Linked DNA regions of Notamacropus eugenii. The protein of the gene in region 2 binds, or shares a complex with, the protein of the main gene of each other region. Links are inferred from orthologs where the notes say so. Each region holds a gene or a part of one and is shown on either strand. Other genes may lie near its edges. The genes, in order: ARHGEF12, PLXNB1 and SEMA4D.

Evidence for each region.
Region 1: the proteins of PLXNB1 (region 2) and ARHGEF12 are in contact, whole or in part, in an NMR structure (PDB 2OS6), measured with the Homo sapiens proteins. The link is inferred for Notamacropus eugenii from reciprocal best matches to the Homo sapiens genes PLXNB1 and ARHGEF12. Residues at the interface, in NP_001123554.1 of Homo sapiens: Glu2129, Lys2131, Val2132, Thr2133, Asp2134, Leu2135; in NP_056128.1 of Homo sapiens: Phe82, Gly83, Leu84, Thr85, Val86, Ser87, Gly88, Asp89, His127, Val131, Lys135.
Region 3: the proteins of PLXNB1 (region 2) and SEMA4D are in contact, whole or in part, in a crystal structure (PDB 3OL2), measured with the Homo sapiens proteins. The link is inferred for Notamacropus eugenii from reciprocal best matches to the Homo sapiens genes PLXNB1 and SEMA4D. Residues at the interface, in NP_001123554.1 of Homo sapiens: Leu80, Pro81, Pro82, Glu87, Arg136, Pro137, Gly138, Asp139, Thr140, Tyr142, Gly178, Glu202, Lys205, Ala207, Gly209, Arg210, Ser212, Glu213, Arg235, Arg242, Asp359, Val360, Asn361, Ser362, Leu367, Pro368, Thr371, Tyr375, Ser379, Asp380; in NP_001358123.1 of Homo sapiens: Glu99, Lys100, Gly101, Phe158, Tyr179, Phe181, Leu182, Gly183, Ser184, Arg198, Tyr201, Ile203, Glu208, Val240, Leu264, Arg265, Thr266, Leu267, Gln268, Lys270, Thr347, Gln350, Ser351, His352, Thr353, Asp388, Gln392, Lys395.

What each region holds. Positions count from the first base shown.
Region 1 is NC_092876.1:277,951,685-277,958,896, reverse strand, and holds the start of ARHGEF12 (rho guanine nucleotide exchange factor 12), read left to right. Parts: upstream 1-4,209; 5' UTR 4,210-4,343; coding exon 4,344-4,375; intron 4,376-7,212. UniProt on the Homo sapiens protein: May play a role in the regulation of RhoA GTPase by guanine nucleotide-binding alpha-12 (GNA12) and alpha-13 (GNA13). Acts as guanine nucleotide exchange factor (GEF) for RhoA GTPase and may act as GTPase-activating protein (GAP) for GNA12 and GNA13.
Region 2 is NC_092872.1:14,567,052-14,574,604, forward strand, and holds the start of PLXNB1 (plexin-B1), read left to right. Parts: upstream 1-4,491; 5' UTR 4,492-4,506; coding exon 4,507-4,778; intron 4,779-7,553. UniProt on the Homo sapiens protein: Receptor for SEMA4D. Plays a role in GABAergic synapse development. Mediates SEMA4A- and SEMA4D-dependent inhibitory synapse development. Plays a role in RHOA activation and subsequent changes of the actin cytoskeleton.
Region 3 is NC_092874.1:370,119,603-370,127,368, reverse strand, and holds the start of SEMA4D (semaphorin-4D), read left to right. Parts: upstream 1-4,686; 5' UTR 4,687-5,025; intron 5,026-5,041; exon of another isoform or gene 5,042-5,226; intron 5,227-7,766. UniProt on the Homo sapiens protein: Cell surface receptor for PLXNB1 and PLXNB2 that plays an important role in cell-cell signaling. Regulates GABAergic synapse development. Promotes the development of inhibitory synapses in a PLXNB1-dependent manner.

The DNA.
Region 1 (7,212 bases), on a different chromosome or scaffold from region 2:
AATAATCTTTATTTTTCTTTCCACTTGTAAATTCATGATCTTAAGTGGAGCTATCTCTTTACCTTTTAAACTTTTCAGGGGAGATGAGATGGCTGTTTTCAAGTATTTGAAAGGAGGAATGTGGAAGACATTAGCCTCCTTCTGTTTGGCCCAAGAGGAAAGAACCAGTAACAATGGGTGGAAATTGCAAAGAGTCAAATTTAGGTTTGATGTAAGAAAAAAAACTCAAAACAACAAACAACTTCCTAACAATCATAGCTATCCAAAAGTGGAATGGCCTCTCTCAGGAAGTAGGGGGGTTTCCTTTCATTGGAGATTTTCAAGCAAGGGCTGGGTAATCTCTTGTGGAGGGTATTATAGGGGGGATTCTTTTCCACATGACTACAGAGGTCCCTTCCAAATGAATTCTGTGATTCCATAAACTATAGGTAGCTCCAAAAACAGCCTTTACTATTCTATAGAGAATGGGGGAGGAAAGGTTGACTTTGTGGCACTTCAGTGAATAATTCCCATCTGAAATAATTTCATAATCGCTACATACCATTTCCCACTGAAGCAAAAAGCAACTGGAAAGCACTAGCCTGGGAGTCAGGAGAGCTGACTTTTAGTCTTTTTTCTGCCACTAATTCTTTGTGTGACTTTAGATAACTCACTTCATCTTTAACAACTCTTTGTTTCCCTACTTGTGAAATGAAGGGGCTAGGCTATCTCTAAGTGTTCTTCCGGTTCTAACAATATGATTTTTATTCTTTGGTCATAGATGAATGTCTAAGTTTAGAATTATGTCCAAAACAATTTCCCCAGAAAGACTGTATAGAAAAAAGGGTCTTTAAGATCCCAAAGGGAAGAGGGGAACCCATCTTTACAGTGCACCATTTGATGAATCACTGGAATGAATACATGTCTAACAAAAGGATTATGTCAAAGGAAGACACAGCTAGTCCATCATTGTGAAAGTCTGCATGATTATACAGAATACATCTGTTGAGTTTGTGGCCCAGATTTGGATCTTGACCAAGGCTTATTGAAATGGCTCGATCTCTAGCTGTTTAACAATTTTTGTTTTTTTAAATTGCAGTTTTGCTTGGACAGTTCTTAGGATGGAATTGTGTCATACTAGGATACTCCAGCAGGTGGCAATATATCCTGCTGACATCATTAGGACTGAAGTGACCTGTATCACTAAATCTGTTTCTTTCTAAAAATAAACATTACAAAATTAGCTGGCTCTTTACTGATCTCAGAAATCACGCAGCTAGAGTCATCTTAGGACTCTGTTTTAATTTTTCCCCCCTGTGTTATGTCACCCTTAGCTCAAGCACAAAGAACACTCAGGGTTATGATCCTTCTTGCTGAATGACTTTCACAGAAAGCAATGTTAAAATGAAATTATTTTAACGAAAATTATTAAATTCTGATAAATTTCAATTTTCACCAAACAGCTGAAATCATTAAACCACCAAGACTCTGAAAATGAAACAATGAACAGGGTTATTCAGAGTAGGTTAAGTATCTCAAATTGGGCAGCAATTTATTAAGTCCTTACTATGTGTAGAATCTTGTATTGAAGGAGATCTAGTTTAGACAAGATTGTACCTGTCCTTGTGGGGCTTATAACCTAGAAGGGGAATATGCCATATAGACATATAACTATAATAAAAATACATCTTAAATGGTTCAGTGGAAAGTGAGCTTCAGATCCCAGCTCTGATATTTAATACCTGTGTTACCTTGGGAAAGTCACCTTTCTTGTCTTTTCTTTTCCTCATCTCCAAAATGAGGGGATTGGAGTAGATGATCTCTGAAATCCCTTCCAGACCTAAACCTATGATCTTCTGATAATGTGTATAGGGAAATGTCAACAAATACTCTAATGGGAAGGTGGGGGATGTCATTATTGCCCCAAGGATGGGTGGATAGGTGGAAGGAGAGGGATGGCATACGGGCATCTGTATGGGTAGGAATTCAAGGGTCAGGAGGGATTTCTAGCAAAAGGTACAGCGGAGGCATTTAATACCTGGATGTGAAGACTTGTAGAACATGGATATATTGGGCTCAGTTTCCTATACTGTTGACTTTTACATCATTTATAAGTAGATAATGGTGAAATATGTGGAAAAACCTCCAGAGATAATTTTTATATAGATTCCCTTTGATCAAAATACCAGAAAATGCCTTTTCTTTTCCTTCCACAAACAGCTATGAAGGCCTGCAGAGAAAACAGCACAGCCTGCTCTCTTCCGTGACTGCAAATAACACACCCTATTTTTCAAGGCAGAAACAGGCTAAAGGTAACATACCAAGAAATTGCAAAAGATACAGCTGGAAGGGACCTGAGAGATCAGAAAACAGACCGACAAGTGAAGTGACTTGCCCAAGGTTACAGAGCTATTACATCTGGACAGGACTGCTTTTTTCTTTACTAAGTAGCCCTCCACTGGTCCCCATTATCTCCAGTCTTTAGAGGTAGGGATCGGGGGCCCAAGTGCACCGCCCCGCACAGGTGAAGAAGCTGTTGTCCCAAGTCTCTTCTCAAACCCGCTAAGAGGCTTCCCTTGGAAGGCTCTCTCGGTGCCAGGTAGTGCCGGGTAGTGCCAGGGGGAGCCGGGGCATTGACAGCTGAAACTTTCCAGGGACGTTTCTTCCTTTTCCCCTTTCTTTCGTATTAACAACGGAGCCTTGCAAGGGAGGTCTTCCCTCCCCCCCACCCCCCATCTCTCTGTCGTGGCTCGGCTTTGACAGCCGAGCTTTGCTAAGCAGGTCTCGGTGTCTGTCTCGGTGTCTGTCTCGGTGTCTCTCACACACACACACGGATACGAGGACATAACTACACAAGCAGGGATCACGGCTCTTCAGGACATCTGTGTGAAAATGAGAGGCCAAGGAGAAACCCCATTCACCGGAGGGATCATAAAGTGGGACGAACCTTGTACTTTGCGTACCCCACCAGCCTACTCAACCCCCACTTTACAGAGGAGGCTAATAGAGGCACTGAGGGACCTAGTGACTGGCTCCAAGCGCCACGGCTGAGATTTAATCCTCTGATTCCAAGATCTAGTATGACATCAAGTCTTCCCCATAACCAGCTCCCCCGGGGCCGCGTCGTGCTCCGGGGCGTTGCCTCGCTACAAGGCGCAGAGCCCTCCCGGGGCCGGGCCGCCCGGCCGCAGCACTACTTTTCCCTTCCCTCTCCAGCACGCCGCCTGCGGGGGAGGCTCCCGGAGCCGGGACGAGCGCGCGGAGGAGGCGGCAGCGGCCGATGCGCCCTGGTGTGTGTGCGCCGCGCGGAGGAATCCTGAGTGAGGCGGCTTTCAGAAGTAAGAGAGGAGGCCGGAAAATAAGCAAAAGAGAGAGAAAAGTAGGGCGGGGGAGGAGAGCGAGTGTGGGAGAACGAGCCTAGGACTGGAGAGGACAGAACCGGAACCGGAACCCGTGCGCGCGGCTGGAATCGTCGCGACCCCCCCTCCCCCTGCGCGCCGCCTTACCTTGGGCGTCCGACGCATTCCCCGCTCCCCTCCCCCTCCGTCCCGAGCGCGCTCCCGAGATAGCCCCGCGGGACCCGGCGAACCGGCCCTGAGGGGAGTCCCAGCCGCCGCCGCTCCCCGCCGGCCGAGACGGGACAGGCCCCTCTCCCGGGAGGAGCCGCGGCGGAGAGCGGAAGAAGCCCGAGCCAGCTCCCAGGGGATGGGGAGCCGCGGCCCGCGGCGCTGAGAGACCTCGGCCCCCAGCTCCTCCTCCCCCCCTTCGGACTGACTCAGCGAGTGCCCGCGCCCCTGCCCCAGCCGCCGCCGGGACAGCCCTCCCCCCGGGCGGACGGGACGGGACGGGAGGGGACCCCGCCCCGGGGGACATGGAGGAGCCGAACCCTGCGGAGCTGAGCGAGCCCGGCGCGGGACGGCCCCACGAGCGGAGGCTGCAGCAGCAGCAGAGGCGGCGGCGGCAGCAGCAGCAGCAGCAGCGACGACGACTCACCCGCAGCCCCAGATAGAGCCGACTGGGCCCCAGCCCGGCCCCGGCCCCCGAGCTCGAGAGGAGGAGGAGCGGGGCGCCCGGCCGCTGCCCGAAGCCGGGGAGCCAGCCGCCTTCGCGGAGACTCGAGGCCGCCCCCTTTGCCCGACCTCACGATTCCCGGGCGGGCCTGGAGCGTGTCCCCCCCCCCCCCCCTCCGAGACTTTCTCCCGTTCTTCCCCCTCCCCCCGGCGGATGCCCTATGACTGGCCGGAGTTTGGAGTCGGACTTGTGCGTCCCTCTCGGAGCCGCGCCGGCTGGGGGTGGGGTGGGGACTGGGATGTGGTTGTAAAATGCAAGTTGGATAGAAAGACGACCTCTCGCCAAGGGCCCCAATGAGTGGCACACAGTCTACTATCACGGACAGGTTGGTATGAAACTCCTTTTACTGGTCAGCCTTTGGTAGTGAGCGACTTCCGCCAGCTCCATCACCCCGGAGCTTGACAGGCCCGGGGCAGAGTAGGGTTCGGATCTGTACAAGTACTCCCGAGCTGCAGCCGCCCCGTCACCCAACGCATCCCTGGGGAAGGGACACAGGATGCGCACCTCCAGGTTTCAAAATGAAGCTAAGCTCTTGAGAAACGTAGGTAAAATGAAGGTTTGGGTTGTTTTGGCACTCCTGAGAGTCTTTATCACAACCCCCGCCCCCTCCCAGAAGGTCACTTTGGGTGAAGGTCAGTGCCTCACATCTGTTGGATACCGGGGCAATATCACTCACCCAGTTGTGTGGGCAGTTTGATATTGGATTTTTCCTGAGGGAGAGCTACCTTGTGGCCCGTGTGATCTTCGTCCCTTTTAAAGGGAACTTGGGACCTTGGGACTAGTGAACTTTTTTGTTGTTCAGTCGTTTCAGTCGTGTCTGACTTTTCGTGACTCCATTTGGAGTTTTCTTGGCGAAGATGCAGGAGTGGTTTGCCATTTCCTTCTCCAGCTCACTTTATGAGGATGAGGAAACTGAGGCAAACGGGGTTAAGTGGCTTGGCCAGGGTCACACAGCTAGGAAGTGTCTGTCTGAGGCCACATTTGAACTTCGGAAAATGAGGCTTCCTGACTTCAGGCTCTGCACTCTGTGAAGATCTTGGTCTTTTTTAAAATGTTGGCTTGCCTAATTTTTAATTGTTATATAGTAACTCGGCGATGAATGGAACTCTGTATCTTGTTATAGTTGGGGTAAAGCATCTGGATGGCGATTTTTTTTAAAAAGCTTTTTGGTTGTTATATTTCCATATATGTTACATTTATGTGTTAGGTATAACATTCCATATATGTTATAGTTCCATAATTTCTGATTTTTATATTTCCCAGGAAAATGTAGTTTAAAAGAATATCATAAGCAGTAAAGGAATTATGTAGGGTTTGATGTGCTAGCTAATAAATGGATTTGTCTTTATTAGCACTTAGATTAGATGGATCATTTCTGATTTAATAAGTCAGCAAATACTTTTAGGTTAGGTACTCTGAACCCTTGAGTATTAAACTTTTAAATGTGATACAGTAACATTAAGCACATTCATTTCTACAGTGTTTTTACATATATCATTTTCATTATAACTGGATTCCTTTCACACACAACAAGGTTGCATATTTGTGGTCCATATGCTAACTTCATATTTTTCTTTTTGTGTTCTGGACTAAAATTACAGTTTTTCTTCCAGAAAAAACTCTTTAACACAACTTAAGAAAGTGGAGGGAGGAACTAAAATTGAAGTTTAATAAAAGAAACATCAGCTTTAGAAAAGCCTATTTGTTTTTAAAACTCCTTTGTTGTAAGGTAGAACAATAGGACTCTGGCAAAAAGTGTTTGAATTACTTTATAAGAGTTACACCCAATTGCTGGACTCATTTGTTGATTAAAAAAGGGCTGAATTCCATTATCATACCAAAACAGCTCCTCCAGAGACAGAAGTTGCACTTCCTCTTCCTGTTGATGCTTTCCACAGTGTCACATGCACACTCACCTAAAGCATTCTACTGACATTTAAAAACTCCACATATGCTCTTTTAAAGTGTATCATTTATTTTAAAAATGAGGTTTTGTTGTCTATGAAACATTTTTTCCTGTCTCCTTTGAGCAACCACCATGCTTATCTTGTAATGCCTGAATGTACTTTTATTCCCCTTTCTTTCAGGGTGTTTTGCTTCTGAGAATCACTTTCAGGGGTGAGTGGGTAATTGTTTTCCTGGCTCATTCATTTCTTGCCATTTTTGTTGAGCCATTAGACAGAAAAACACCATTAGAAACAAATGTGTTAGTGGTTTATTTCTTCCTGTTGCTGTTTAAGTCTGTAGAAATGGAGTTTAAGACCACCAACTCATGCCATACAAGAGTCACCAGTGATCTTTTTTGAGTGTTATTACTGGAAATTATATTTGCCTATTTTCAGTTTTGGACATATATTTTCTTTGTCATCTAGTTACAGTATGTGATTCTTGTGAGCATTAAACTAAATTTTAAGTCAGGGGAGGTGTAACTTTAAACCTCTCCATTTTGGTTGTTGATGGTAAAGTTTGTTTTGGGAGTGAATTTTTTCAGATAATTCACAGCACTAACTGATTTGCAGAGTGATATGACAAAAGTCTTTAGAGATACTCTAAGTTGCAGATGACAAAATGTAGGCAATTTAACCAGGCAGTAAGGATACTTGTTTCTTAGGTGTTCTTGTTATAATTTCTTTTCTGCATACTTTTGTTCACTACTTTGTATTGATTGCAGGTGTTGTAGTTTCCCTAATTATTAGCTAAGATCATAGTGTGAATAGTTGTTCTACTATAACTGTGCACAACTTTGACTTAATCTGACTTGTAGTACTGATTTGAATGTGTTGGGGATAAAATCTGGAAGTACTGGTTTAGTGTTGCTTCTTTGCCAAGGATCCTGAAAGTCCTCAGTAGGGAATACTTCCCAGCTTCCTCTAGGCACCACCCACTGTGGCCTTCTCCTTCCCACTATTCAACTCCAAACTAGTGTTGATGGTGTAGTTGATGTCTGACAGCTAAGTTTGCAGTGACTGGCAAACTGACAGTACTGGTGGACCTCGTTATGGTCTTTTCATGATTGAAGTACTATATGGGGTATGCTTTGTAGCGTGTGCAAAATCATCCAGGCCAGCTGTGTGTGAGTCCTTGTTCTTTCATTGTAGTGCTTCTGACTGTACAGTTTGTCTGTCCCTAGCTAAAATCAGACTGGCTGGCTTTGGGCGTTGC
Region 2 (7,553 bases):
CGGAGTGGAGATAGACTTTTCAAATGCACAGAGGTTCAATGGAATGTCTTCCTGAGCATCATAGGATCATAGATTTAGATCTGGAAAGCACTTTAGAGTTCACCCAGTTTGGCTGAGAAGGAGAAACGTCACATTAGTCTAGAAAGATAGATGGGAGGCCGACGGTGAAAGAAAGGCTTTAAAGGCTCAATAGAAGAGTTTGTATTTTACCCTCAAGGCAATGGGGACCCATTGAAGCTTCTTGAAGAGAGGAGTGGTAACGGGTCAGAGTGGATAGACAGGGAATGGGAACAGCTTTCCAAAGTTTCTTTGGAAGTGATGGTGGGAGTGTGGGACTGCTTTATATTTTTGTATTTGTTCCTAGCTTATACATTTTCTGTGGTGTGAGAAACAAAGGCCATCCCATACCCAATATCCATATTATACACTAAGTATCTCTACAGAACTCGAGGACTTTGCTACCTACTTTTAGGGAAACCTAGACATTAGCCATGCCGTGATTACGGTGTAAGATTTTCCTGGAGAACTCCAGGTAGAAGCAATGAGCTGGAGAGAGACAAAGACCCTCATGGTGTCAGGTCCCCTCCATGTGAGATCAGAGTCCTTGGGCCCTGGGTCATGGATGACAAACACAGATTGGCTTACCTTAATTGGGGGAAATGAAGCTAGGGTGAGTGTGGAACAGGATTTCTTCTTAACTCAATAGAGGATGTCTAGCATCATGCAAGGATGTGAATATATTCTATTAAGTATAATACATTACCCCCGCCCATGCTACCTTCCAGCCAAACTGGCTGACATTCTTTGTCAGCAAGCCTTTATGCTTTTTGCATATGCCTAGAATACACTGCTGCCTCATTTCAACTCTCCAAACAAGATAGTTGTACCCTTGTGCCTCGAATACTGTCTGGCATGTAGAGGGCATTTAAGAAATACTTAATGATTATCAGTTTGGCAGTTGTGTGCAGAATTGGAGAGAGGGGAGAGGATGAAGGCAGGGAAACCAATTAAGAAGCAAACAGTGATGAAGGCTTGAGCTAGGGTATAGAGAGAAGGAAGGGAATTCTAGAGACGTGGAGGAAGAAACAAGATTTGGTAACATTGTATGGGACAGGAAAAGAAAATGTGAAGAGTTGAGATAGTTGTAAACCTGAATGACAGAATCCTGAGAATCAAAAGCTTGTATTCCAGAAATTAGTGCCTAGTACACAACAGGAGCTTAATAAATGTTTATTAACTGACTGACAACTGGGAGCTTGGGAACAGCCAATGTGGTTGATCAATCTGTCAGTCTCTGAAGGGGACTAGAATGGACCCTGACATGGTAGGGATGCTAGACAGGCATTGCTTAGACTAAGGGACAAAGACTCAGGTCCTTATCTTTCACCTCTAGAGCATCATAGTGCAGTGAAACGTGGAGGTGTTAGAATGACTGATGCCCACACATGCTTTCCCTCTTTGCCAGGCTGGAGAATAGCAGTGCCTTTTGATTTCCTGAAGGTAGGCTTTGAGTCTTTTGCTCACCTCTGGCCAGACAGGCCCACGGAAATTCATTGGGCCAGTACAAACTAAAGGCAGAGGAGGAGGGACTGTGATGTAGGCTCAGCCCAGGACCCCCAGCTGCCTGACACCTGAGGTCCTACTCAGCTTTGCCTGGTAGGTGGGGCTTAAGAGAAAAGACACCACTGAGTAGTTCAGAGAGCTGGGGTAAGGGTTGGCTTCAGGGAGCATGGGCGGTGCCAACTCAGCAGGGAGAGTTGGGGAAGGGTGGGGCAGGCCAGCTTTGAAGGTAAATCCCTGTTCTTGCCTGGGAAGGGGCCCAAACAGGGGCAGAGTATGTTCCTGGGGCCCGCCTCTCAAGCTCCCCTTGCCTGGACAACATGTAGGCCACGCTTGGCAGCTAAGTCCTCCCTGCCCTTCTAACATTAATCAATGACTTTGCACTTTGCACTTTCCCCTTTACTGCCCCTACCTCAACTATCCCATTCATCCCCCCTTACTCATTCCCCATAAGGCTGCATGAGGAATTGAAGTCAGAGGACCTGATTTCAAATGCTAGCTCTGCTACTTATCATCCTCTCTGTACTTTGGGAAAATAACCTTTCTAGGGCTCAGTTTCCTCAACTGAAAACTAGATGACTTAAGTCTCTTCCAGCAATAACTATTATCTTATGATCTCTCCCTGTCCTCTCCCCAAACTACTTCCTCTCATTGGTCCATCTTCTGTCCCCTCCTCCCCAACCCTAAGAATGAAGCCTTCACAGAGAACTCCAGAAAATTCTAGATGTTGACAAGAACCTTGTGGTGGGGATGGTAAGAAAATGGAAATCAAAGGATTACAGATTTATGGCTGGAAAAGACCTAAATGGTCTTTTTGTTTGTTTGTTCACTGTCTCTTCATTCATTTCCCATCCTCTTAAAGTGATTCCACCACAAGAATTTATTCTGGCTTCTCTTCTCTCCTCTCCACATTGTCTCTTGGCATTCTCATTCACTGCTATGGTTGCCATGACTGATTCTATGATCAGCCCTCAAATCTCCAGCACTGATTCTTCTGAGCTCCAGACCTACATCTCCAGCTGCCTATGGGGCATATGACACCTGCAATTTGGAGGTTCCACTTACTGTCTTAAGCCTTTAAATCTCTGACTTCATCATTTCTGCGGCTGATACCACATGGTTCATCCTGTGTCCCATGTTTGAAAATGTAAGGTTATCTTGGACTCTTCCCCTATCCAAATGCTTATCAAGTTCTATTGATTCCCCTTCAGTAACATCTCTCAAATCCTTACCCTTCTGTCCCAAATGACTCTACCACAGCACAAACTCTCATTACTAATTCCTTATCTCCACCCCCCCAAGCTATTCCAATAGCTGAACAGGTCTTTCCCCTTCCAGTCCAACCTTACACTACTGCCAGATTACATTTTCTAATAAATAAATCGTCTTATTACTTCTTCAGAAATTTTTGGCTACTTTTTATTGCCCTTGGTTTGACATTTAGGGTTTTCACATCTGGCACCACTTTCACCTTTCCATCTCACACTAATTCTCACCTTTTATGTCTACTGAGCTCCGGTCAAATTGGACAATGCTGTTCTCCAACTCAAAATGTCCCACTTCCCTCTAGTAACTCAGCTAGTATTATCATAGACAGATTTCACATATTCCTATGTGCACTCTCTCATGGACTTTTACATTATTTGGCTTTGTGTGACTTTGTGTCATATCCTCCATTGTATAGTGAACTGTGAATGCAGAGACTGTGACATTTAAACTAAGTGTTCTTTCTCCCACAGCCTAGTCCAATGCTTTCCCAGGGCTTAATGTTTAATTGTAGGAGGAGAGAGTGGGGAAGCTTCATGGGGGATGAGGAAGTTGGGAGGGAGGGGAGAAGAGGGGAAAGGCAGTGGAAGGGGAAAATGGTAGAGAAGGAAGGGCAGCCCCAGGTCGGACCATGTCAATCCCCTATTCAAAAGTCTTCAATGCGTCTCTATTGGCTTTTGGAGAAAATGCAGACTCCTCAGCCCGGCATTTAAAGCCACTAACTTGGCTTCCACCTACATTTCCAAATATTGCACCTTGGTCCCATCCACGTGAATAAAATGAGTTTTCTTGAAGTTCTGGGAACTGGGTATGCTATCTCTCTTCTCTGTTCATAGATTTAGACTCAGGAAGGGTCTTTCGAGATCAACTTCACCTCTTCATTCAAGAGATGTTAAATGGCTTGTCCAAGGTCACACAGTAGAGTCGTACTTTGTCGGTCTTCCGACCCCACAAACAGCCTCCCTTTTCACTTGACCATTTTGCCGCGTTTGCACTGGCTGTCCGCCCCTCAATTTCTGGAATACATTCCTTCCTTACTTCTACCTTATAGGACCCCAAGATTTCTTTAAGTCAGAGTTCAGGTGTTCTGTCCACTCCCAACTCCCTAGTCGAGCTTACTTGGTATTTACTAATATGTCCACTTGTGGGTCGTCCTCCAAGAACGGGAGCAATCCTTAGGGATGCCTTTCTTTCTTTCCTTCCTTTTCTTAGGGATTTCTTTCTTTTTTCCTTCTTTCCTTCCTTCCTTCCTTCCTTCCTTCCTTCCTTCCTTCCTTCCTTCCTTCCTTCCTTCCTTCCTTCCTTTCTCTCTCTCTCTCTCTCTCTCTTTCTCTCTCTCTCTCTCTCTCTCTCTCTCTCTCTCTCTCTCCTCTCTCTCTCCTTCCATCCTTCCTAATCTGGAGGAGAAAGTGGAGAGGAAGGAAGGGTAGAAAGAGAAGGGGGAAGGCAAAGGACAAGCAGGTGAGGGTTCTGGTGGAGAAAACGCGGTGCCCCTCTGTGCTGCCCTCCCTGCTTCATCCTGCAGCCCTTCTCGGCCTGCGGGCTGGCTGGGGGTGGGGGTGTCTCTGTTCCTGGGCAGCCGGGGTCTGGAGAGAGGGAGGAAAGGAAGGCGCAGAGCCCGGGGGAGGACGCGGCTTTGTCTCCATTGTTTCTGGAGGTGAATGCGCCGGGCCGTGGGGGATGGGCGGGCGCAGTTTTCCGCCCCTCGGTCTCCGGGTAACAGCTGTGGCTTCGCCGGATCCACCTCCGGGGGCGGGGGTAGGGGAGGCCCGCGCCGCTCTGGGGCTCGGCTCAGCCCAGCTCAGCGCCGCGCCGCGCAGCGCCACTCGGCTCGGCGCGGCCCCGCGCAGCAGAGGGTTCGAGCGCGGTGCAACTGTGTGCGGTGAGACGGTGTGCGGTGCAACGGTGGGAGCGCCTCCCTCCCTCCCTGTCCCAGCAGCGGGGCCCGAGTGGTGAGTCCGTGCGTCCCGGGGGGCGGCGAGGAATCCGAGCACCCCGGCCAGACTCCCCGAGTCCCCGGAGGTGGAGAGCCGGCATCCGTAAGGATGGCTTGGGGAACACTTACGTGGACCGCTTGGGGCTTTCTGTTGTGTGGATCGGCCACCTGGAAGGGAGAGCTCTTGATCTGGGGCCTGGGGCTGGGCAGGGGGCTATTTCATTGTGGGCATTTTGGACCGAACTTCTCCGGTGGAAGAAAACTTCAGGGTGGTTTTGATTGGGAGAGGCGGGAGGCGGGATCGACTCCCCCTGAACTGGAGCTGAGTGCCCCCTCCCTCCACCCCTGGGCAGCCCCTCCTCTCCCCCACCTCCATCCTCACCAGCCAACAGCCTTTCCCTCCCCGCCAGGACCAGATGACCAGAGAGGGGGTCTTTCCTTCTTGGACCCTGGGGGCGGGATGCCTGTACTGAGGAAGACGGGAGGTACACCACACCTCGGAAGGTGGAATATGTGGGAGAGGTTCGGGGCTCCTGCACCTTGCCTAGATCCAAGAAGGATTGGGAGAGTGGGTCGTAACTCTACCTTTCCCATCCCAGTAAATTCAAACGCTCCCTGGATTGCGACCCCCCCCCCCCCTTCTTCCATGCACACCTTAATTGTGGCCCTCGTCCCTCCCTCAGAACACACCCTAAATCGCTACCGCTCCTTCTGTACATATAGAGTGGATTTGGATTTTGACACTCCTCTAATGTGGGCTTCCTTAATGTGACCACCCTCCCCTTCAGTACACACACCCTGGAGAGTGACAGTCTTCCGTCAGACTGGATTGTGTCACCTAAACCACCAAAAGGCATATCCTGAATTACGACCCTCCCTTTTCGCCTCATACATAATCTAAATTGAGACCTCCCTCTCCTCAGCCCTCTAAATGCTCAAATCAAAGGGTAACCCGCTCACATTTTGGGGTTAATGAGTAACTGGCCAGCTCAGAGATGGGAAGGAAGCAGTCTCCCCGGCCATTCCAGTGAAAGCTGGTTTCTCCTGATTATGGCACCCAGGGAGCCAGCCAGGTGGTGGGCACCTCATTGGGTACAAGGTGGGGGGAGGGGCCGAAGGGGCAGGGATCAAGACAGGGTCTGGGCCTTTGAAGAAAGGGGAGGGGTTGTTCCCTTGCTAAGAGGAAGCCTCTCTGCACCGCTATCTCAGCCTTTCACCTCTTGTCTCCTGGAAGTGGATAGGAGGGCTAAACCTGGAGTGGGGAGGGGGTGTATATTTGGGGGCCGTAGCTCTTGGGCATCTCCTTAACTGGTGGGTGAAGAAATCGTACTCCCCCTGGTGGATGAAATGGAGAGATGGCCTGGAAAAAGTGGGGAGCCCTAGAGTGGCATAATCTGGTGCCAATTTTGACATTGTTGGAGGAGGGATTTTCTAGCTAACATGTTGGGGGGAAGGAATGGTATACTCGTGGGCCCAACTGGAATGTGGTAGGCTCTGAGTGTTAGGGTGCAAGGGGTCGGTAGGGTGCAGAGGCCCATTTGGAGGCAATAGAAGCTTTGAAGAAAGTTTTGGGAGAATGAAGGACTTGCACTGTCTCATTTGTGTACAAATCTCAATAACACATTCTGGTTCATGGTCTCTAATTAGTAAAGATGTTTCTGAAGCCACCCAGATTCTCCAGTTGATCTTCACCCTTCTCCCTGTCCCTTCCCTTGACCTCTGTGTTGTCCTTCCCCCTTTCTCCTCTGTTACTATGCTTGGCACAAACTAAGCACTTAATAAATGCCTTTTCATTTTCATTCAATCTTCCCTGACCCTCTCCATTTTATTTTCCTTGTCCTTCAGTCTTTCCCTCTCTGTCTGCATGACTCTTCTTGCTTGACTCTGGCTTTTGTCCATAATGGGGAAAGGTATATAGGGTCCTGGGAGGAAGCTGATGATAGAGAACAGAATAGGAGCAGTTCTGGCCTCTCCAGCCCCCTTCCCCTAGAGTCACTCCATCCATGCAGACAGCTCCTGGGAATCCCTTGAGAGGGGAAAAGAGAACTGATTGGCTCTTCAGGGTCAGTAGAAGAAAGGAGGGAGGAATATAGATGATGGGAGCAGCTCTGGACCTACCCTGCTCAGGAACCCCTTTTGCCTCCCGATTCCATTGGCCCTCTGGCCCCATATCCCCCCAGTTCAGGCCTTTCAGTTCCCACTGTGGGATAGGACATGAGTCCTTGGAGGAAGCTCCTGTCTGTTCCTTGAACTGGGCAGCTATGGCAGTCGGCACCCTCAGAACATTTCTGGATGCAGGGTGATTATCTTCTGCTGTGTGTTATATTATTATGGTTTATATGGGCATCTGCCTCCACTCCCTCCAACAAACACACTCCCTATCTGCTCCAGATGCCTGTGATATCTGTTTGATCAGCCTTTTGGAGTTCTCATCTGCTTCCTACTTGGAGAGGGGGGTCGGAGAGAGAGAGCTTGGAATTCAAGACTACAGGGTGGGAGAAGGTGCTAGAGAGAAGAGCAGCTGAGTTGGAGGGGGAGGGGATTCTCTGACTTTAGGTTCATCCAAATACCCTTCCCCAGTTTCAGCCCCATTAACTAGTCTTTAGGGAAAGCCCCATCTATGTCTTTTGTTAGGGAGAAGTACACTTGAGCTTGAGGGACCTTCTGAGCTTGTCTGTTACCAGGTCTGTGCCATAGGTACCCTGCAGTCTGGGGGTTTGGGGGGGGTGGGGCTCTGCCAAGGTCTCTCCCAAGGCTGCTGTCCTCCGAGATTGAAGTGAAGGCGGTTGGA
Region 3 (7,766 bases), on a different chromosome or scaffold from region 2:
AGCATCATCATCATCATCATCATCAATGTTTCCTTGTGTTTGCTATTTTTTTCATCTTACTTTCTGAATTTGAACTTTGTGATGGGGCAAGTTCTGTGCACTTCTGGAAAATGTGGTAAAGCTTTCTATGGTACTTATCTGTATTATCTGGTGTCTGGATAATAAATGTTGTATTTTTCAGGGCAACGATTGAGGTTTGTAGGTGTACGTGAGGCAGTCTAGCCCTACGGGTAGTAATGATCTTTACTCTCCTGGTCATAGTCCCAAAGGCTATAATTAAACCCATGAGAAACTGATGAATTCATCAAATAAAAATGTAGAAAGAAAATAGCCCAGAACAAGGGCTTGGGAAAAAACCCAAAATCAGAAGGGTTGGTATGATGAAGCAAAGGAGATGAAGGAGTGGTCAGAAGGGTAGAAGGTGAACCAAGAAAACACAGTATTACAACAAAGAGTATAGAAATTAAATATTTAGTAGCAGAGGGAGTTGAATAATGCCAAATGATATTGAAAGATCAACAAAGATGGAGCTCAAAGAAGACCATCGGATATGTATTAATTAGAGCTCATTAGTAACTTTCAAGAGATAAATTCACTTGAGTGAGAAGTCAAGGATAAAGAGAAAGTTGAGAACCTAAGTGACTGGAAGGATAGCGGTGCCCTCCATAGTAATAGGGAAGTTTGGAAAAGAGTGAGTTTGGGGGAAAAAATGACATAATTGCAACATATTTGTGTGTATGATACTCACTATTCCTCACTGACAATGAAAAGTGTATATGTGTGAGAAAGGGGTGGGACTTCCTCATTCACTGCCCAAGAGTGCAGAGTAGGCTAATGTAGTCCAGAGCATCTCAAGGTGGGGATACAGCAGTTGGAGATGTAATGGCTATGGAAATCTGCCTGTTCAACTACTACAGGTGTCTGAATTGGGATAGGTTAGAACAGCTTTGAAAGATGGAAGCACTATGTATCCACTGAAAACCATCTGTGAGAGGGGTTGTAATGGGCAAGTGGTCAAGGGGTAGCAGTTATATCAGAAATAAATTCATATTAAGCTATGAGGAAGGGGAAGGGAGAGATATAGGATGTAGCTCATCTTCTCACACTTTTATTGGTTAATCACCCACCCCACTTCAGTTTAAGTTTCACTCTGAGGTATCCCACCCCTACTTTGGAAAGTACTTCTCTAAATTAGGAAATATTTTGTTTGTTCTACCATGAGAACATTTTTGGGGGAGAGGGGGTGATACATATTCAAACTCCATAGTTCTTTGCTCAGCATTTTCCATCATGAGTCTTTTGGAATTGTACCATGACATCATATATAGCTAATCATTTGCCTCTTATTTTCCTTGAAATTCTTTGGCCTCTCTTCCCTTCTATTAATGCCTAGTTGCTGGAAGATGATCCTGCTAGGATCTAGGGGTGGGAAACTTACAGCCTCAAGGCCACATGTGGCCTTTGAGGTCCTTGGATATGGCCTTTTGACTAAATCCAGGTTTTACAGAACAAATCCTTTTACTAAGCGTTTGAAGATTATAGAGGTTGGCTAGCCCAGGGTCTCCTTTGAAGTTATTCTCTATCAAGTATGTATTTGTTTGTCCCATTTTCTTCAGTCACAAACCCCCCCTTTTTTTACCCTTGTCTTGTGGTCCTGTGTTGTGCTATTTATGCTGTGTCTTCTACATAGACCACACTCCTTTCCCCATCCTTCTCCTTTTCCTTCAAGAGGTTAGCAAATCAGTCTCTTGTGGTACAAGGGTGGATTCAGACTGAGTCATAGATATGGAGGGATTCTCAGGTTCCTTGAGCTCAGGGTAGGTTGTGAGATTTCTAATGCTGAACAAAACCTCCCAAAATGTCCCATGAGAAATTCCTTCAGCATTGATAAGCAATTATTCCAGAAAAGAAGAAAGCAAATCCAAATCACCAAAATCTGCAGTAAGAAATGAGAAATGACAATAAGGCAAAAGAATATGGACAATGACCAAACTTCACCATTTACAACTCTATGCTAATAAATTTGAGAAACTGAAAGGAATGACAATTGCTTTCATTCCATCAATGATTACATATAAAATAACTAATCTAACAAAACAAGAAATGGACATCCTAATTAGACAAAACTCAAAAGGAGAAGTCTAAGAGTACTTTTAATGAACTGCCTTACAAAAATCCATCAGGAAGAATTGTTAAGTGCCTGGTAATATAGCAGAGTCACAAACTTAGGAAACAAAGGGTAGGGTAGGGAAGAAATGATGCACCAGATATAGTATAAAAATTGAAAAATAAAATATGGAAACAAACTTCAAGGTAAAAACCTCATGAAATCACATTATATAATGTAAATGTATAGAGGTTTCATTCAGCATTAGAAATCTCACAACCTGATCCCACTGCCTCCTGATGCTGGGTTCCACACCCACTTCTACTAAATTACCCCTCTACACTTCTAGGCTAAGTGCTCCCCTACCCACCCACAAGTTTTGGCAATGTCCCTTGTTCCTGGAACCAAACACTACCTCTTTGTAGTATAACAAGTACTACCACTAACACCCTGCTAAGAGGGCTGCCACGGGTGTTGGCACTGCTGGCCTGCAAAAGTTACCACCCCGCTCTATCATCTCCCAATTTTGGATTCTAGCAGTACCTCTCAATGTCTCCCTAAAAGGGGATGCCCTCCTCTTCCAAGTAAGTGCTGCTGCTGATACCTATTCTGGAACCTACATTGGGGTTCACTCTACAGGTGTCCCTTACCCACCTATAAGAGTTATAAGATGGAAAATTACAGTTCACAAGAGAGTCAAAGTCAGTTCTCCTTTTAAACTTTCTAAACTGATACAGTCCCATCTAGTCTTCAGTAAATTAATTGGGGTGATTATGGCACATTTGTCCTTATCTTTCAATTCCTGAAAGGTCTCTGGGTCGCTGAGGAGGATTGAATATCGTCTTTTTTAAGTGCCTTCTCAGTGACTTTTAACAGTCTCATGTAGCACAGCTAGATCAGCTTAGAAAGAGCAGGGTAGATAGCAATGTGGGCTCCATGAGTGTGGGCAATCGCTGGTCCAGTATAACCTGTTGATGACCTTATTCTGGAACTGATTGGAGGAGAGGATACTTCCACATTGCTGCCAGTGTACCATATGGTCATTAAGGATGTAGCACAGAAAACTTAGAAGGAAACTGGGAGAACGCTGAGGGGTTGAGAGGTTGGAAGTCACGGTGTGGACAAAAATAAGTTTTGTACGGGAAGGCAGAGGGAGAGGGGGGAAACAAATAGACAGGAATTGGAGGAGAAAGAAAATTTGTGAGTCAGATACTGAACTCTTTGAGGAAGGAAGAATGACCTAGTAAATATAAATTATCATGATGTTGCTTTTGCATTTTATACATTTTTTTGAGGTAGATTGAAGTTTATTGGAGAAACTTGAATGTACAGGTGCACAATCTTTTTTTTCAAATTACATTTTGAAATTGGAAAGAAATTTAGTAGCTGTCCTTATGCTCTTTTGACTATTTTATTTTCAGCTGGTTGTTTGCAGACTATGTATCAATCCTGCTGTATTTATCTTTAAGCCATAGTAGGAGGCTTTATTTTAGGTGATTTAAAAAAATACATTCGGAGTTTTCTCTCCCTTAAGCTCATTTTTAGCTTTTCAAGGTCTTTTAATGTGGCCAATGACCAGGGCCTTTCGTGTTCTTTAAATATGGTCAAATCTTTGACCTTTTTTTGCCCCTCCCTGGTTGTGGGGATAACGGTTGTGGTCTGTGGTGTCTAAAAGCAAGATAAGCATTAGTAATTGTCAAAAGATCTTATACACTTTCAATGTATCATTTTGTACTACAGTTGCTGTTTTTGTATCACATACTCTGTAAATTCCCTGAAGCAGACAATTAGGTAAACTTTGTATCTCTCCTCTGGAAAAATAAAAAGAACAAATTGAAATTTTCTTGCCCTAGTTGGGAATTATTGAGTGTTTGCCTTCAAGTGGTTATAGGATAGGATTATGTGGGTGTTGAAGAAGCTGTAAAGGCCATTTAAGGCTCTGAGAAGAGGTAAACTAAATCAATTTAGAGTATAGATTGCCCCAAAGTACAATCATGGGAGGGGAGAGGGAATCAAAGATTAGGGCATAGTAATTGGGGAATGATGTTGAAGAAGACAGTAGAAAAAACACCTTCCAGCTCCAGTCCTGATATTTTGAAGGTAAAGTTAAGGCATAAGATGCTGGTTCTCTACACTATCACCCAGCAATACCAGTTGCATTTGAAAATGTAGTGCTTACTACACACAAACTAGTCCAAAAGAAAAAACTAGTCTCTTGACAAAGAGACTAGTTTTCCTCTTCATCGTGTGTGCACCCTGGGTATTTACTTTTTTTAAAAGCTGAACTTTTATTAAATACTTGGTCATAAAGATCACTATTGATTAATCATAAAATTTTAATTTGAATCTAAAAGATGACAAATTTAGTTTTACAAATCAGCTAATTTCTAGTTAAAAACACAAACTTGAAAAAAGACATAAAACACCATTTTCAGAAGACATTAAAGTGAGTCTAGAGATGCCCACCAACACATTTTGTACGTGTGTGTGTACGCGCGCGCGCAATGCTCCCGCTCCCACCCTCCAGTAGCTCTGATCGAAGCATCATTCTACTCCTCCCCTTTCCCCTGGAGCTGTTCAGCGCTAGGCAGTCTGGTTCTGGCTGGAGCTGCCGCTGCACGGAGCCTTCTCTACTCCACTTTCCTGCAGCGGCCATACTGGGGGCAACCCAAACTTGCTACATACTGGCACCAACTCCTCCTCCTCCTCCTCTTGCTGCTGTAACCGCCCCTATTTCTAGCTCCAGCCACACACCGAGGAATTAAACCTGCTGCAGTAGCCCTCGTCTACGTTAGGGACTGGGAGAAACTAGATGCTAAAGGGGACTGAAGGAAGGAGAGAGTGGGCAGTGTAAAAGCAAAATTGTGGCGAGGAGGAGGGCTCAGACGAAGAGGAAGTTTCTTCTTCTCAAGCAGCAGGTAACGAGCTTCCCCAGCCTTGCACGTTCCATGCTTCCCCTGCCGTCTTGCAAATGCTTGCAAAGCTGCCAGGAAACTGTCGTGTCTAGGAACGTCTGGGCTCGCGTGTTGACAGGGTGGCTTTGCGGGTCTCACCCACAGCTCCTGCAAGAACTGTTCGGTGTATTCGGGGCTCCGTGACTCATCTGTGCCGGTGCTTAGGTCTGTGGGGAGGCCTGGGGTGGGTGGAGAGGCGGCGATCCGGCTGCGCAGCGTTAGCGTTTGAGGTTGTCGGGCTATTTTTCTTTTCTTTCTTTTCTTTCTGCGGGGGGTGGGGGAGCGGCGCGTAGTTGGGAGGGAAAGGACAGGTCGAAAGGTATTTTCAGAGAAAGATTTGCTGGGGAAAGGAGGAGGAGTAGAGGACTGAGGTGTTGATTCTAGTTGTAAAATTGCAGGTGAGGAGGGGACTAGAAAAGGCTTAGCATGGGGATGTCGTTGACTGGGGGAAAAGTTGCGAATGGGGGAAAAGTGGATATTGGTGTAGATTGTGCAGAGTGAGGGGAGAGTATTTTGGTTTCTTAGGGAGGTTGTGTTTTTTACCCTTTTCGAAGAGGATGGCCTACTATCACTGCCCACCCAGAAGATTGCACTGTTTTAGCTGTTTTATTGCAAAAAAAAATCCAGCTCAGACCTGAAAAAGATTGTTGTCCCTTGTCTCCACTTCCATTCTCATATACTTATCAACCCATGTATTCCCTTTCGTTCAGGCCTCTGACTATGGGCTCCCGTGCCACACATTTTTACATAATGTACCTGCTACCCGGATGAAAGTAAAATAACCCTGTCCATTCCCCCGCTCCCCCAAAATATGAGCTCCTGGTAGGAAGCGATCATTTAGATTTTGTCTTTTATTATCCTCAGCTACTAGTACAATGTCTTGCACGTAGCATTTAATATTTGTGTGAATTGTTGAATTGGATGTCAAATCATTTGCAAGAAGGTGGTATATTTATCCAGGTTTAGCTTCTCTGGTTATCTGAACTTATTTTGGTAATGAGTTGGGGAGAAGACATAACATTTTGTATTAGTGATAACCATTGTCTTGGATTTCTTTTGGCATAAAGATTAAAGGGACTCTGGAAAAATGGAGCACTAGACTTTTTGTGGTAGAAGCTTCCTCATATTTTAGAAAATCATTCCCATTTTATATGTGATTGTCATTTTCCTTTGTGATGGATTCTTATTTGAGTTATCTGACCTACTACTTGCTTTTGCCAATACCGCTCTGAACCTGATGAGCTACTTACTCTCTCATCCTTTCTTACCTCAACTTCTTTTTCAACAGGCTAGAAAAATTGGATACAGCTATTTTGGTAACCTTGGACAAAAAACCAGTAATATATACAGATAGGTGAAGTAGGTTACATCAAAAAAAAAAATATTGCTTAATTTTTCTCCCAGTGCTGACAAGTTCAGGTTTGTTTGTTTTTTAAATTGTTATTCCAAAAAGTAAGAGAGTAGACCTTGTTTTTAACTAAGAGATGCACCTGTTGCAGCAGGCTGGCAGACTGAGCTAAACCTACTGGTGTTTTGCCAATAAAAACATGTAAAGGATATTTGAACTGGTGTGTTGTTTCCCTACTTCCCCAGCTCCTTTTGGGATTATATGTAAATCTGTAAAACTTTTGTTCATTTAAAAAGAGACCTGTCCTCTCTTATTTTAGATACTGTCAATTTTAACTATGGACCCATTAAATCAAGGTTCCTTCCTAAAACCTCAATTTAACATTAAGCTGACCTCAAGCCTATTAGTGGTAAGGTGTTCACAGGTTGGAAAAAATCGTTCTGTTCCTGAAGAATGCTGTTTGTTTATGTCTTTGGTGCAGTAAGGTTATACTTAAATTAGTTTGAACAGAATTACTGTAAGTTTTGAGACTACTAAAATACTACCAGTTATTCCTGAATTTTTTCTTAGTGAGGCACATACAGATGAGGGGGTGGTGGTGGTAAATCACCCGGAAATGTTACCATAAGCATAGATCTGTAGACCTGTTTTGAGTCATGAGCTCAGAGGATCCCTGTCTGACCATTTCCATTCTACCTTCACTGTGTATGTATGTACATGTATGTGCATATATAGCCTGCATGCACATATATGTACACACATATATACATACATATATATTTTTTGAGGGGGTGGTTTTTTCTCTATCTATTGGCCTATTTCTGCTATTTATGTGTGTCATTAATTTTTTTCTGGAATAAAGTTATAGAAGGAGAGACTATAATCATAATAGCCTTTTGATTATATAGTAGTTTTTAAAACTCATTTTACTTTGCCATTCTGTTTATAGTGATGTTGATATTTCACTGAATTTGTATTCTCATTGATGTCACACTCTTCAACTATATGCATCATGATCCATTCATGACTTTGAATACTATAAAGTATCCATCCAACCTTTTGGGAGCTTTCCATTTAGGTCTCTTGTCATTCTTTAAAAGTACATCCTGGTGCCGTCCATTCCTCCATCTTGCTCTATTACTGGCCCACTTTGTTTTCAGTTGATACATTTCTTAGATGTTATATTTTACTTTGTTTTTTGTGTATAATTCACCTTTGATATGATACTAAACCCTGTTTATCCTCATACCTACCATGTGGCTAAGAGATTATGGTGTATATTTATTTCATGATTCATAGCCACATAACAATATTGGGAGGGAGAGGAGCATCCCGGCAATTTCTTTTCTTTTCTTTT